Linked DNA regions of Saccharomyces cerevisiae S288C. The protein of the gene in region 3 interacts with the protein of the main gene of each other region in a biochemical or structural test. Each region holds a gene or a part of one and is shown on either strand. Other genes may lie near its edges.

What was found.
Region 1: the proteins of SLD2 (region 3) and MCM2 form a complex in vitro, tested with the Saccharomyces cerevisiae proteins (3 studies listed by BioGRID).
Region 2: the proteins of SLD2 (region 3) and DPB11 form a complex in vitro, tested with the Saccharomyces cerevisiae proteins (4 studies listed by BioGRID).

The regions. Positions count from the first base shown.
Region 1 is NC_001134.8:174,420-179,069, forward strand, and holds MCM2 (MCM DNA helicase complex subunit MCM2), read right to left. Parts: upstream 3,108-4,650; coding exon 501-3,107; downstream 1-500. Other genes in the region: NCL1 (tRNA (cytosine-C5-)-methyltransferase), read left to right, coding at 1-169; ATP-dependent Lon protease PIM1, read right to left, coding at 3,455-4,650. UniProt on the Saccharomyces cerevisiae protein: Acts as a component of the MCM2-7 complex (MCM complex) which is the putative replicative helicase essential for 'once per cell cycle' DNA replication initiation and elongation in eukaryotic cells.
Region 2 is NC_001142.9:262,257-266,775, reverse strand, and holds DPB11 (protein kinase activating protein DPB11), read left to right. Parts: upstream 1-1,724; coding exon 1,725-4,019; downstream 4,020-4,519. Other genes in the region: SIP4 (Sip4p), read right to left, coding at 1-850; GWT1 (glucosaminyl-phosphotidylinositol O-acyltransferase), read left to right, coding at 4,224-4,519. UniProt on the Saccharomyces cerevisiae protein: Has a role in the initiation of DNA replication. Required at S-phase checkpoint. Required for the association of PSF1 with origins. Also required for the proper activation of RAD53 in response to DNA damage and replication blocks.
Region 3 is NC_001143.9:232,000-237,072, reverse strand, and holds SLD2 (Sld2p), read right to left. Parts: upstream 2,648-5,073; coding exon 1,286-2,647; downstream 1-1,285. Other genes in the region: YKL107W (putative short-chain dehydrogenase/reductase), read right to left, coding at 3-932; transcription factor HAP4, read right to left, coding at 3,182-4,846. UniProt on the Saccharomyces cerevisiae protein: Has a role in the initiation of DNA replication. Required at S-phase checkpoint. Also required for the proper activation of RAD53 in response to DNA damage and replication blocks.

The sequences.
Region 1 (4,650 bases), on a different chromosome or scaffold from region 3:
GGTTTGTAAAGAAGATACTCATGAGCTATTATATAGGATCTTTGGTATTGATGCGAATGCCAAGGCTACTCCAAGCGCTGAAGAAAAAGAAAAAGAAAAAGAAACGACTGAATCTCCCGCAGAAACTACTACCGGAACCTCTACTGAAGCTCCTAGCGCTGCTAATTGATAGTTATCATGTTTCTTATCCCCTCCACTGTAAAGTAAATGTATATTATTAAAAGGCAAAAATAAGAATATAATACTTCAGTAATGAGCCTTTTTTATTCGGTCTTGTTACTTCTTTTTTACTTCATTTTTTTTTTTTTTTTTGGATAGTAAATAATGCACTTTTGACTAGATCTTGAGTATTTAGTTGAATTGAAATTAAAGATACAGTGTATAAAAATTATACAAAAAATAAAGGAAACTTGTATATTGAAAATAGGATTGCCAATACATGGATTGAGACAGAGAATTTTTTATCTTCATATCCAGATATTCGTAGGAATAACAAAGTTTTAGTGACCCAAGGTATAAATTGCGAAAGACCTGCGGAGTTGGCGGCGAACACTGACTTTTTGGGCATCAACAAAGGAATCAACTACAACTTTGATAGCTCTATCCAAATCATAAGAAGACACAAATTCAGATAATCTCATTTTAGCAAAAGATTCTGCAATTCTTAGAATAGATTCTAAATGACGAACTGTGATTGGAAACGAACCTGTAGAAATACTTTCTCTTCTCAAATCCGCATATACCCTGCTAACCTTATCCATATCCATCTGATGCAATTTAGGGTATATTTTTGTCCTCGCATAGTGAATATATTTCATCAATAATTCCTGTGGAATAGGCGAGATCTCTTCCTCCTTCTTCCTTTGTCTTTGAAGTCTTCTTTGCCTTGCATTAAGCTGCTCATTTATTTCATCTTCTCCTTGTTCTATCGCCGATTCGCCATTATTTTTAAGCTCTTCGCCTTCTCGATCTTCATCGTTTTCTGGATGAGATCTTACATGAGAATCGACAACAAATGTGGCCAATCTTTCGTCTGCCTCTTCATCAACAAGGTCTCTGACAACACATAAAATATCAAATCTAGACAGAATAGGCTCGGTCAAACTAACATTCTGAGCTAAAGGCAAGGTTGAATTATATCTACCACCATTAGGATTTGCCGCAGCAATAATTGAGCAGCGCGCTTGTAATGTAGTAACAATACCGGCCTTGGAAATGGAAATACTTTGCTGTTCCATAGCCTCATGAATAGATGTACGATCCTGATCGTTCATCTTATCGAATTCATCAATTAAACAAACACCCTTATCAGCCAATACTAGCGCCCCCCCTTCTAAGGTCCATTCTTTAGTAATAGGATCTTTTCTGACGGATGCTGTCAGACCGACAGCCGAAGCACCCTGACCAGTTGCAAAGACCGCTCTATGCGCTGTTTTCTCGACGTATTTTAAGATTTGAGATTTGGCAGTACCTGGATCACCTAATAATAACACATTGATATCACCACGAATAGAATGTTTTCCATTGACGTTTTTTGGAACACCTCCAAATAATGAGCACGCGACTGCAGTTTTAATATCTCTATGACCATAGATAGACGGTGCCATCGATGATATAATTTTATCAATTATACCACGATCCCTAGAAATCTTTCTAAATTCACGTTCTTCTTCTTCAGTCCAACTGAAAACATCCAACCCTTCTTCGCCTTCGTTAGCTGTATTGCCCTCTCTTCTTTTTATAGAATTTGCCTCGATAATTGTTGCAAAAACGGGGAATCCGTTCTTTGCATTCAAGTTACCATCGTAGTTATTTTTGTAGATGCCGGTAACTTCTACCTCTTCACCTGGCTTGGATACATCTACCAAATCCGCCAACAAAATGACTTCTCTATGTCTTGGTAGACGGCCTGGAGGAACGGTTCCGGGAGCTTCCTGGAGCGTAACCCTTTGATAATTTCGGTACACAGTTTTTTCTCCATTGACTCTAAAGGGACCTTTTGATTTGCAGTTTGTACAGAATGAGATTCTAATTTCTTCATTAGAATCTTGAAAAAATGGGCCCAAAATGGAGCCACATTTCAAACAATTGAATTTGACATATTTTAATTGAGGGAAGACTCCTGTTCTTCTTGTCACCACCCCAGTGACGCGTACTAGAGAGGACAAATTAGACTCACGCAATTCACGTAAACTGTATATTGTTGGAAAATCAGAGATTCTTACGTGAATTTCGGAGTGAATACGGGCATAATCTGGGTAATGCAATTCTGTTGCCTCCATAGCCACGAGATCGAATATTTTCAACATTTCTTCTGGACATTTAGCTAAAAATAGTGCCAGGATGGCTTTGGACTCCGCTAAGTGTCTATAATTAACCTCCAAAGATTCAGAATTCATTTCACCTAATGTTCTAATACGTGCACCATATACAGAACGACCCGTTTCATCTGTATATTCCAGCAGGAATGATTTTAACTCTCTGGCAATAGTTCTTGAGACATTAGGTTGTGTTATCCATTCCGAGTAACTGTTAGCCTTAACGTTACTCAGAGATTCTAAAGTAAGTTCTTCTCTTAATGGGTCAATGTCCATGTCACTCAATAGATCGTCATCACTATTCTCTAAGTCCTCATACTGCCTTCTCCTTCTTCGTCTTTGCACAGGAAGGCCCATTTCATCAAGTTGCGCTGCACCTTCTTGTTCTTCGTCCTCGTCATCTATGTAGGCAACATTTCTCAATAGCCTATCTCTTTCATTTAGTTGAGCATCAATGCGGCGACGTTCGCTTAAAGATAGTTCTTGTTGTTCCCTGTCGTCAACTTGATCTGGATCATATCTATCTCTATTATGATCAGCCGCATAATCCTCATACATATTATCGTCCATCAAATCTACTTCGTTCATTTGTTCTTCAACTTCATCAATATCTGGTACATCGTCAACTTCATTATCGTCACCTTCAGGGTTAATCATATCTGGAGAACCAATAGGTGATGAAACTGGGTTCATCCCCCCTCTAAAATGTTGCTGAGGTGAGGATGGCGGTAGCTCATTTTCTGAGTCCGAATCATCTTCCTCACGTCTACGTCTTCTATTATCAGACATCACTTATATTGTAGTTGTGTTATACTTCTTAGAAAAGAGGCAAAGAGGTGTGTGGAGTATTATTAAGTAAACTGTACCAAAATGTGTAGATTATAGGATATTCACCATTTACTTTCTGGTTTCGTTTCTCGAAATTTTTCGTTGTCCTATTTTCTTCGGTAAGTAATTAGATTTCCTAAAAAAGGCATATGATAAATAATATTACACGCGATTCCGCCATCTTGGGTTTCCCACATACATACTTCACGAAGAAAAGAAAGAATTTAGTATTGTGTAATAAAATTGATGTTTATGTTTAAATATTTACAGAATGTTTAAACAGGTATTTAATCCATTTAGATGAAAAGTTAGTCCTTTTCCTTTTTAGCATCCAAAATCTCAAATTCAGCCTTCCATACTGAATTACCTTCTTTCGTATTCACATCCTTGAATAATTTTTGGAATATATCATTATACCAATCAGCAGCTAAAGGTTCCAACCCTTCCTTTACATTGTCTGGAAGTTCCTCCCAATCATTTAAGTTATCTTTAGGGAAAATAATAGTCTTGGCACCAGATCTTTTAGCGGCCACAGCTTTTTCTCTCAACCCACCGATACGTAAAACTTTACCGGTAAGTGTCAATTCACCGGTCATCGCAACCGTTGGGTCAATCGACTTATTCAATGCTAGGGAAAGGAAGGAAGTGGCCATAGTGACACCTGCAGATGGACCATCTTTAGGGGTAGCACCTTCAGGACAATGCAAGTGGATAGACGCCTTTTCAAAAAATCTGTTCTCAGGGAATTTTTGTGCTAAATACATCTTGGCGAATGAATAAGCAAGCCTTGATGATTCCTTCATAACATCTCCCAGTTGCCCGGTCCTTTCAAATGTTGGATGCTTGCAGTTGTGTAAAGGTTGTTCAAGGACAGATTCTACATAAAGTGAGCAACCTCCCATATTAGTCCACGCCAACCCCATAACTACCCCTGGTGGAGTTGTTTCGTATAACCGGTCTGTAGTGTAGACTGGAGGCCCAACGTAATCTTTTAGGTTTTTCTGGGATATGGAAACATTGATCTTTTCAGAGGTCTTTAAGGCTTCAATGTCATCGCTTGTCTTTTCCGAATTATTGTCCTTAGTCTTCTCCGATGAGCTTTTGGCGTTATTTTCCGCCTTTTCTTCGGAAGAAACGCTTTCTTTAGGCTTGCTGTCGGCTGATGACGTTGGGGAATCTTCAATACTCAACTTCTTTACCACTTGTAGGGCTGCTTTACGGTATATTTTCTCGATGTGTTTTTTCAAATTCCTTACACCACTTTCTCTACAGTAGTACTTCATTAACGCTGTTATTGCATCTTCTGTCATATCAACATGAGAGTTTTCTAGACCAGCGCTTTTCTTGGCACTTGGAACTAAATACTGCTCGGCAATCTTAACCTTGTCTTCAGCAACATATCCTGTCAACTCAATGACTTCCATACGATCCAGTAAAGGTCTTGGAATAGTTTCCAAAGAGTTAGCAGTGCAAACGAAAAGCACTTTTGATAAGTCAATAGGAA
Region 2 (4,519 bases), on a different chromosome or scaffold from region 3:
AGTCTAATTTGCTGTTTGTTGTCAGAGAAACAATAAGCTTCGTGACTTTAAAAAGCTTGAAATCATCAAAACAAGACCAAGTAAATTGAATAATATAAAGTAACGCCAGTAGAGTTATGGGTTCACCTGTCATTGCGGTTGAATTAATCTTGTCTAATAGCAAATTTTTCCATAAATTTGTAGGGTATAATAGAAGTAGCAAAGAATTTTGCCTTTTAAAAAAATCTTTAATAATGACAGACAACAAATTTTTCAAAAACTGAAGGTTATAATCATATTTAAGTAAAAGAAAATTTGGGAGATGATTAAAGTCACCATTCAGGTTCAAAAAATTTGTTAACAGTTGCAGTTGTAGATCAATATTATTTCGATCGTCTGTAAAAACTACTGCTTTTTGAGTAGGAAAAGTATTAGTTAGAATATTCCATGTCAAATGTCCCAAAAACCTTTGATTTTCAGACTGAGTGTTGTAATTATCAAAACAATAAAATGTATCATTAATGAACGGCAAATTAGAATTTGCATTGGCGCTGGAACTCGCATTCATATTTGTCAAACGGACGACCTCTTTTTCTAGTAGTTCTGTATACCCCTTTGGAAGACCTCTCCTCGACAGTTTATCCGAGGTTTTGCAAGGGAAGTCAATTTTCGCACAGTTTGAACAGTTCGGTTTTAAACCGTCACACTTGATTTTTTTCAGTCTGCATCTATCGCAAGCATGCGCCTTTCTGACAGAGAAATCAGTGATTGCGTTAGAGGAGCTTTGACCGGTTGGTACTATCAGGACTTTATTGCTGCAGGAATCTGTATCATCGAGGGAATAAGACCTGCCATATTTCCTCTTGGCCATCGTCTATTCAGAGTAGCGAGAAGAAAAAAAGAAGCAAAAAAAAAAAAAAAAAACGAGCAAAAGAAATCGAGCAAAGGAGAATGAGCAAAGGATAAACGGAAAACAATGGTAAAGAGGATTAGCCGCTGAACTAGATTGTAAATTGAAGCGGAAAAGAAAACAAAGGAGAGGAAATCGGAGAGGCAGAAAGCTTTCTGCCTTATATACTTTTTTTTTTGCCGCCGAGTTCTGAGATCACGCCCTTAAATTTAGCCGCCAAAACACCGGTCGAACGGCGAAAATGGATCGGAGTCTTGATTGCACCCACACCTCGCATTTTGTGCACTAACATAAAATATGACGAAGTGAGAGTCATGACACACAGAATAACTTAAAAATACTTGAGGAAAAAGTTCTCATATTATGAGGTCATAATAACTACATCGTTATTGTTGCGATATAACTTCAATGTTTTCTGCCTGCAAAAGAATCCTTCCTTTTCCTTCTTTAATTGAAGAGTCCATGTAACCTTGTTTCGTTACTTATATTTATTCACCTTTCTACTTTAGTCACATAACGTAATCTGGGCATAATCATTGAGGTATCATTATTAGCTTGAACTCGTGGTTCCTATTGTCGCCAGGTTTCTTTCAACGCATTTGCTCTTTCCGCTTCGCATACGGCGGTGATCAAATGCAAAACTTACCCTCATCAGTATAAGAGAAGAAAAACTGCATGGACTATTCGCGTATTGCCTGGTAAAGCTATATAGTACTATTGGTAATGTTTGTACTGTTTTATGTACATGATGAATAAGAAGAGACAAATTTTACGTGATATATAAGTCTTCTATTTCTAGTATGGCAGGTATTTTATCAGTAGCATTAATATTACTATGAAGCCCTTTCAAGGAATAACATTTTGTCCGACTGCAATAAATAATGAAATCTTAGCTAAAAAAATATCAAAGAAAATTATTAAGTTAGGAGGTATATTTTCTAAAGATTTGACCAGACAAGTTAATGTCCTTGTTGTTGGGTCCACCACCAATACAAACAAATTTAAATTTGCGGTGAAGCATAGATTCGATATCATATTTATTGACATTCAAGCCATTGATGACATTTATCAGCTCTGGCTGTCTGGAGAAAATATATTGCCGGACTCTAATACGGCAACAATGACAGGATCCACCTATGAGATGCTGAAGATACTTTACCGGCGATTTTCGTTTAAATATTTGCATAACTTCAATATCTTCATTGGCAGAATAACCGACACTAACATAACTTCCATCGATTCATTGGTTAGGAGTATTAAAAAGTTAGGGTGTTCTAGTTATAACTATCAAAACTTTGTAATCAAAGATACCTCTTCACACAATGATGACGATGATCAAGGTCAGAATGGGCAGATATCCATTTTTGTTACGGATACTTTACTAGGAGCAAGAGTTAACGCTGCTATTGAACAAAATATACCTATTGTACATTTCAAATGGATTCTCGATTGCCAAAAAAGAAGCGCACTGTTACCGTACGATCCCTATTATCTTTTACCAAATATTAAAGACCTGCCCTATGATTCAATCGGATCAAACTCTTGCGATTGCTGGGATAAAATAAACACCACCTTTCCAACCAATATCGATGCCCAATCCTCTCTGCAGCGGCAGCAATCCTCCAGTACCCTGACTCCTTCGCTCCCGAAAACATCATCCCTCTTGAATAAATTTAAACCAAAGGGTGAAAAAATATGGGACAAGGCAATGTCTCTACAGCAGCATAGTAAGACAAATTTTTCAGTACTAGGGCAGTCACCATTATCGATAAATAACAAACAAGAAGATTTAAGTGATAATAGTACTTTGATTTTCAAAAATTGTGCGTTTATCATTCATCATATTTTTCCTGGCAATCACCGTTCAATACTAACCAAAATTGTTGTTCAAAATGGGGGTAAAATTGAGACGTCTTACTTGAGCGGCATTTACGATCATTCTTATTACATCATTCCAAGTAATAAAGCTCTTGACTCCTTCAATGATTTACCTGAGATTATAGATGATAATGATGGTATAGTTACAGAATTTTTCATTGAACGCTGCTTGTATTATCAAAAATTACTACACCCAATAGATTTATGGTCAAAACCCTTCCTCAGCACAATAGAGTTTCAAGTTTCGTCTTCTTCAAAGTTATTGCATCATGAATTTTCTTCTTCCCCTTTTCTGAATGTTACTATCACTGGATTCTCTGGCGTAGAGCTGTTACATCTGACTAAAGTATTAAATCTTCTAAAACCAATGGGCATCAATTATGTAGAATACCTCAATAAATCCACTGACATTCTGCTAATCAACTTAGCAGCTTTACCCAGTATCCCGAAAACCCATCCGTTATGGTCGAATGAATTTAGCGATCTTTTTACTCAGTTTTGCATTAATAACAATAATGATGATCCTGGTGATAATAACAGAAAAGATTTTCAAAATAATTCAATCTTGAGAAATTCGATGAAAAGGAAAATTGAATATATCAAGAAATTCCACTCCATACCGGTAGTTACTCCAGCATTTATTTTTAAATTATTGTCCGCTGCATCTGGAGAAAATAATGAAATCTTTTTAAACAATATCAAGTGGTGTATTATCTGCCCAAGAGGACACAAGGACGATTTTAAATGTAAGATAAAAAAACCATACTATACCAGCATTAGTTCAGAAAAAAAGTACCAAAACAATGATCCAAAAATCGACAAAACTATTCTTTTGAAAAGAAACAATTCCTCATTATCGGAGCACTCTATGAAAGATACCAAAAACGAATTATTGCAGAAAATTAGAGAAACTGATTCTGGAAGAAAAAAGCGTAGTGTCTCATCGAGTATCATGGATGTTTCTTCAGAGAGACAAATGCCGGATACGAAAAGGATCAAGTTGGAGTCACTGCCAAAAAATTTCGTTCCTAAACAAATTAAACGAACCACGAGTTGGGGCACAATAATGTCAGAAAATGTGCCTACAGAGCAGCCGACTGCAATTTCTAATCCAGAAGAGATCCCAAGAACTGAGGAAGTTTCACATACTCAAGTTACCTATGGCTCCATTCAAGATAAGAAACGTACTGCCTCTTTAGAAAAACCTATGAGACGACAGACAAGAAATCAGACAAAGGAATTAGATTCTTGAAATGTAGTCCGTAATTTTATAAGATATTCATTTACATACGCCATCTACAGCATTATTCAAATCTACTCATCTATATGTATTACCGTTTTGTATGATAATACTTTCCATGACATGCTCGCGTGAAAAAACAGCATGAGAAAAAGAGGATCGCAATAAGAAGACACGTAAATATCTAAATAAATGGCAACAGTACATCAGAAGAATATGTCGACTTTAAAACAGAGAAAAGAGGACTTTGTGACAGGGCTCAATGGCGGTTCTATAACAGAAATTAACGCAGTGACATCAATTGCTTTGGTAACTTACATATCATGGAACTTATTGAAAAATTCCAACCTTATGCCTCCTGGCATTTCCAGCGTGCAATACATAATTGATTTTGCATTGAACTGGGTTGCTTTGCTTCTATCTATTACTATTTATGCTAGTGAACCATACCTTCTAAACACGCTAATACTGTTACCTTGTTTGCTCGCATTCATATATGGAAAATTTACTAG
Region 3 (5,073 bases):
AGTCATTCGTTACTGGAAGTGAAAGGACTTTGATTACGCAAGGCCTTTTCAACTAGAAGTTCCGAATTTTCCATAAACTTCTCAACAACATCTTTGGTCAAACCAGGCGAAGGTAAAATAGCATCGCCTTTGTTGCTGAACATTGTACCACTGCGTGATTCGATAGCGGGGCTCGCAATCAGGGTGCATATTGTTTTCGCATACGTCTCTGCGCTTTGACAGGTCCAGCTGATTATCCATTCTGTAATGCGGCTGAGGTAGGTGTCACTGCCAAGAAGATTATTACGAATGTTCGTTTTGATCAGCCCAGGGTTCAAACCGAAAGTATCTATATTCGTGTATCTGTCTTTAGCGTCTATGACCAGACTTTCATTGGCTGCCACAGTGTTCATATGTGTAGCGTAGGCACTATACTTCTTTTCATCAGAATTCAAGTCATCTGGGTCTCCCACCTGACCATTTCCTGGAAACCCTGCTATGAAAACTTTTGGCAAATCGTCTTTTTTTGTCCTACTAATTCCTAATCGCTTCGCCACATCATGGAAGATAATGTATCTACTCAAATAGCTCACTGCCATGTCTTTTTCCAAACCCTCACTTGTAGCTTGTCTCTGGCGTGATGCAAAAATACCCGTAGTGAAAATCAGATGTGTTAACTCCTCGTAGGGAATTTCATCACTATGAGATATACGCTTGCATTCTGACACTAAACTTAAATCAGCCTTGACAAAGTTAATTTTATCTTTTAGGTCCTCGTCCCTAAAAGTTTGCCCGACAACAGTAACCCTGGCATTTCTTTGGGCCAGCTCTCTACTTATTGCACGTCCAAGTCCACCTGTGCCACCAATTATGGCCACATTAAAACGACTAAAATCAATGTCATTGATATTTTTTCTTTCCCAACTGACGGTGGGATCCTTTTTCCAGAACATCCTGCTAAATGCGCCAATATACTATTATTAGTTTTTCCTTGATACGTGGTAATATTCTGTTTGTTGGTTCACCTTTTCATTCACTTGAATTGTTTTAAATTTTGTATTTATACCTCTGCCGATTATTCCTCCCCTAATTGATGATTGCAGATTATGTAATATATATACATATATGGACGAGGCCCCTAATTGAACAACAAAAATAAAAAGTGTAAAAACATGCTAGTCTCTATATTGATAAAAATACGTATGATGTCCATATAAACTATACGTCATGCAGCTGAAGGAATCTAACTGAATACTTAATAGGTTTCTATAAATTACAAATGTTTGTATTATTTACGCCATCACGCTCACCTTCTTCCCCATCGTCCATTAGAGAATCGGTTTTTCTTTGGCAGTTTTAGTCTTCTGAAGTTATTGCTCACTAGATTATACTTCTTTCTACCCTTTCGCTTAGCCGTAGGCTTTTGCTCTGAGCTTACAACGCCGCTGCTTGCCTCCGGATCATGTTCAAATTCAGTATCAGAGATTTGTGAGGTGGATCCCAAAAATTCTGCCACTTTCCTTCTTTTGAGTTTCACCAGCTCCTTATGGACATCTCTCTCAAAACCTGCGGTCTCGGTTTCTGGATCATTGTCTCGTAATCTTCTGATAACCTTTCTTCTTTTGGGTCTCTTTCTTATGAAGGTATCTTCCCTTGCTTGGCTATCATCATTATCATCATCCTCTTGAAATATGTCCTTCACAACTTTTGGTCTAATTAGTTCATCTTCTAGCCCAAAGTCGTCTTCGTGGTTTTTCTCATCGTAACCATTCTCGCCTTCTTCTCCTTCCTCTTCCTCTTCAATATCTTCTTCCTGTAAGACACCAAATTCTTTTACAATTTCAGTATGTTCCCTGGCCAATTCTATCAGGGATTTCGTCAGTGGTCTTCTAATGAGTGGAGACGGACTAAATGAAGTTGAAATATCCGCTTGATCCTTTGAGGGAGTCTTCTGTAAAGATGGATATGCTATTTGAAGCCGGCGTTTAGTGCTTGAATTAAGTGAGATGTTTAGGTGAATGTTTTCTTCATCCAATTTTAGCGGGGAATTAGGTCCATAATACCCCGATGGTTTGCCAGATTCTAGTGGAGGATTAATAGTTGGACTACATTTCTTGATTTCTACCAACTTCCCATTGCGATTCTTGCATGGTGATGAAGTCGGAGTACGTGTAGAAGAAGCGTTTAGCATTTGAAAGTTTAATTGGCGTTTCACACTGGATATTGGTTCCGCCACTAACGTACGATCTGCAGGCGACGATTTTAGGAGAATAGTTTTTCGTGGAGAAGATTCATTAGAAATTGTCTTGGAGTTATCATTGTTAACATCAATATTATTTGTGAATGTCATGTATATAGGCTTTATAGGCGACAAATTCATGTCAAAGATACTAATCGCCTTACCGTAAACTTGGGGAGTAGGGCCTATCTCTACGACTTCGTCGTGGTCTTTTTTATGTGCCGGGAGTTCAACCGACTCTTGAGTGTCAACTTTTTGTCGTTGCAAAGATTGTTTCTTCTTCAGTGTGGAATATTGTTTATACATCTGCCGAACAGTCCGCAGGCTCTTGATGTCATCCCTTGTGGGTTCCCTTTTATTTTTATCAATGAAATCATGCTCCCATGTTTTCAGCTCAATTTTCAATTTGTCCAGTTCAAATGAGTACATCGAACTACAGTTATCGCCTCACTAGATAGATTTCCCTGTCCTGTGGAGCCTGATGTAAATCAAAATTTGATTTTATCATTTTTCTCTTGACGTGTTTCACCATACGCGTAAACGTGATGTGATATACGGAAGATATGTAAAAAGGAAGCAAAAAAAAAAAAAATGAAAGTAAACGGATATGTGAAAATGCTCTTAGGTAATTTGAATATAGTGTATGTATGAGAATAAATAACTAAGTACCAGAAACGGTATATAAATAAAAAAAAAATAATGGCCTTCCAGACCCATATTTGTTTTTCATTTTAACTTTTTTTTTATGATAAAGAAAGAAAAAAAAAATCATTAACATCATTAAAAAACAATCAAAGTTTTGTTTTTTTACTTTTTTTTTTTGGAATTTTTGTTGTTGAAGGAAAAGGACGCCTAAGCAGGCGAAGAATACTATCATTACCCATAATAAGAATTTTTTATTGTATAATATCATTTTGTTTTCGTGATTTTTAGTTGTTTTCGTTTTATTGCAACATGCCTATTTCAAAATACTTGTACCTTTAAAAAATCGACATCTTCGTCAAGGTCGTCGATGAAACTGCTTTGATCAAGTTCATTGGTGGCAGTTGCATCATTGTTGTTATCGTTTAAGTCATAAAGGTTAGCGTTCGACTTCGACGTAGAAATTTTTTTGGATTTCAGAACTTTGGTGTAGTCGTCATCAGTACCGGCACTACCGTCAATACCGGTATCGTTGGAAAACATGAAATTTTTAAAAGATCTGCCATTGTTACAGTCCTGCTCTTCCATCAACTCTTCTAGAGTTGGGGGCAAATAAGAAAACTTATTGTCAGCCAAAGTGATTTCTGAACCTAACTCGTCATGGTGATGCGAATCAGCGCTTTCATCCTGATCCTGAAGAAACAGATAGGTTTCATCGTTCTTTGCTTGGATGTTCGCCTTCTCAGAATTAGTATTTTTTTTCAAAGCACGTGATGAATCTTCTTGTTGTGAACTTGAACTTGGTAAATAATTCCAAATGTCTTCTTCATCTGGCTCAACCTTATCATCTTGCCCTGAAGATACGGTTTCCTCCAAAATTGGCAGATTCAATAAAGACATATTATCGTCATTGTCCACTTGTTGGTAATTGCCACTGTTCTTACCTGTTGTATCGTCCATAGACTGTAAGTAAGAATTCCAGAGATCATTATTTTCGTTAACGTCGTTATTCGTGTTGACTTTGGCATACTTATTGAAAAACTCAAGTTTCTCGAAATCGTTAAAGAATTTAATCTCGTTCAAATCCTCAATTTTGTCCTTAACTTGCAAATTAGTAGGCAAGGAGTGGTTTCTAATCAACGAGACTGAATCTGCTGGAGAGAAATCTGCTGGAGAATCAGGGAATGAAGCCTTATGAGGGATCTTATGAAAATTTAGGTTCATGTTCAAATCTTTTGTCAACTGTGGGACCGGAGTGGCCGATGAAGATGTGGAAGATAAGGACAATAAATCAAAGTCGTTCAACTTTGATTTTTTCGTGGGTGGTGCGTGAACATTTGAAGAAGAATCTATATGATGGTTTTTTGTTAGCAGACTGTTGTGAGCAGCAATGGTTTCCACATCGGTGCAGCTTTCATCGTCCATGAATTCTGATTTTTTTCTATTTCTATAACTTGAAAAAGATGGAGATGAATAAGATGGAGATGAAATGGAGGAGGCAGAAGAATGAAACTTTTCATTTTCCAAGTCATCGAACTTCAAAAATGCGAGGTAATTCGAGTCGTTTATTAGCTTTTCATCGATTGTCTGGATATGTCTTGGTATTTTCCTCTTTTCTTTGGAAGCTTGTTTCCTATTCGAAATGATGTTATTATTATTATTATTATTACTACTGTTCCTGCTGTTAGGGCCAACATTTAAAATATTATTGGTGTTGTTGGCAGGTAGAGTGTTGTGAGAAGATGATCTTCTACCAGGTCTTGGTCTTGGGGGCAAAACCCAATGTTTTGAAGTTCTAACCACCAAGCTAGACTTCTTCTTCTTTTTACTGCCATCGTTTTCGAATTCCAGCGAACTATTGTTATGATGGTTGGTATTTGGGGCGATCGGTACAGGCGCCAATGGAATATTATTATGCTCATTTTTAAAATGGTTACTACGAGGGCGACTAGCGGAGGCCTGTAGTAGAAAAGTCTTTGCGGTCATGATTCTTTTTTTGTTTTTTTTTTGTACTAGAAAATGTAGGTAAAACAAATCAGCAACCCATTAAAATGCTCTTTGATGTACTAGGAGACCAATAAATATGTGTGGAAAAAAAATAAAACTGTGTTTTTTCTCTTCCTATGCGTTTGATAATGATCTGCTCAAATAAATAATGACCCTTTTTTATTTTTCTGGTTCCTTTATAGTAGTATTTTTATATTATTAAGTGT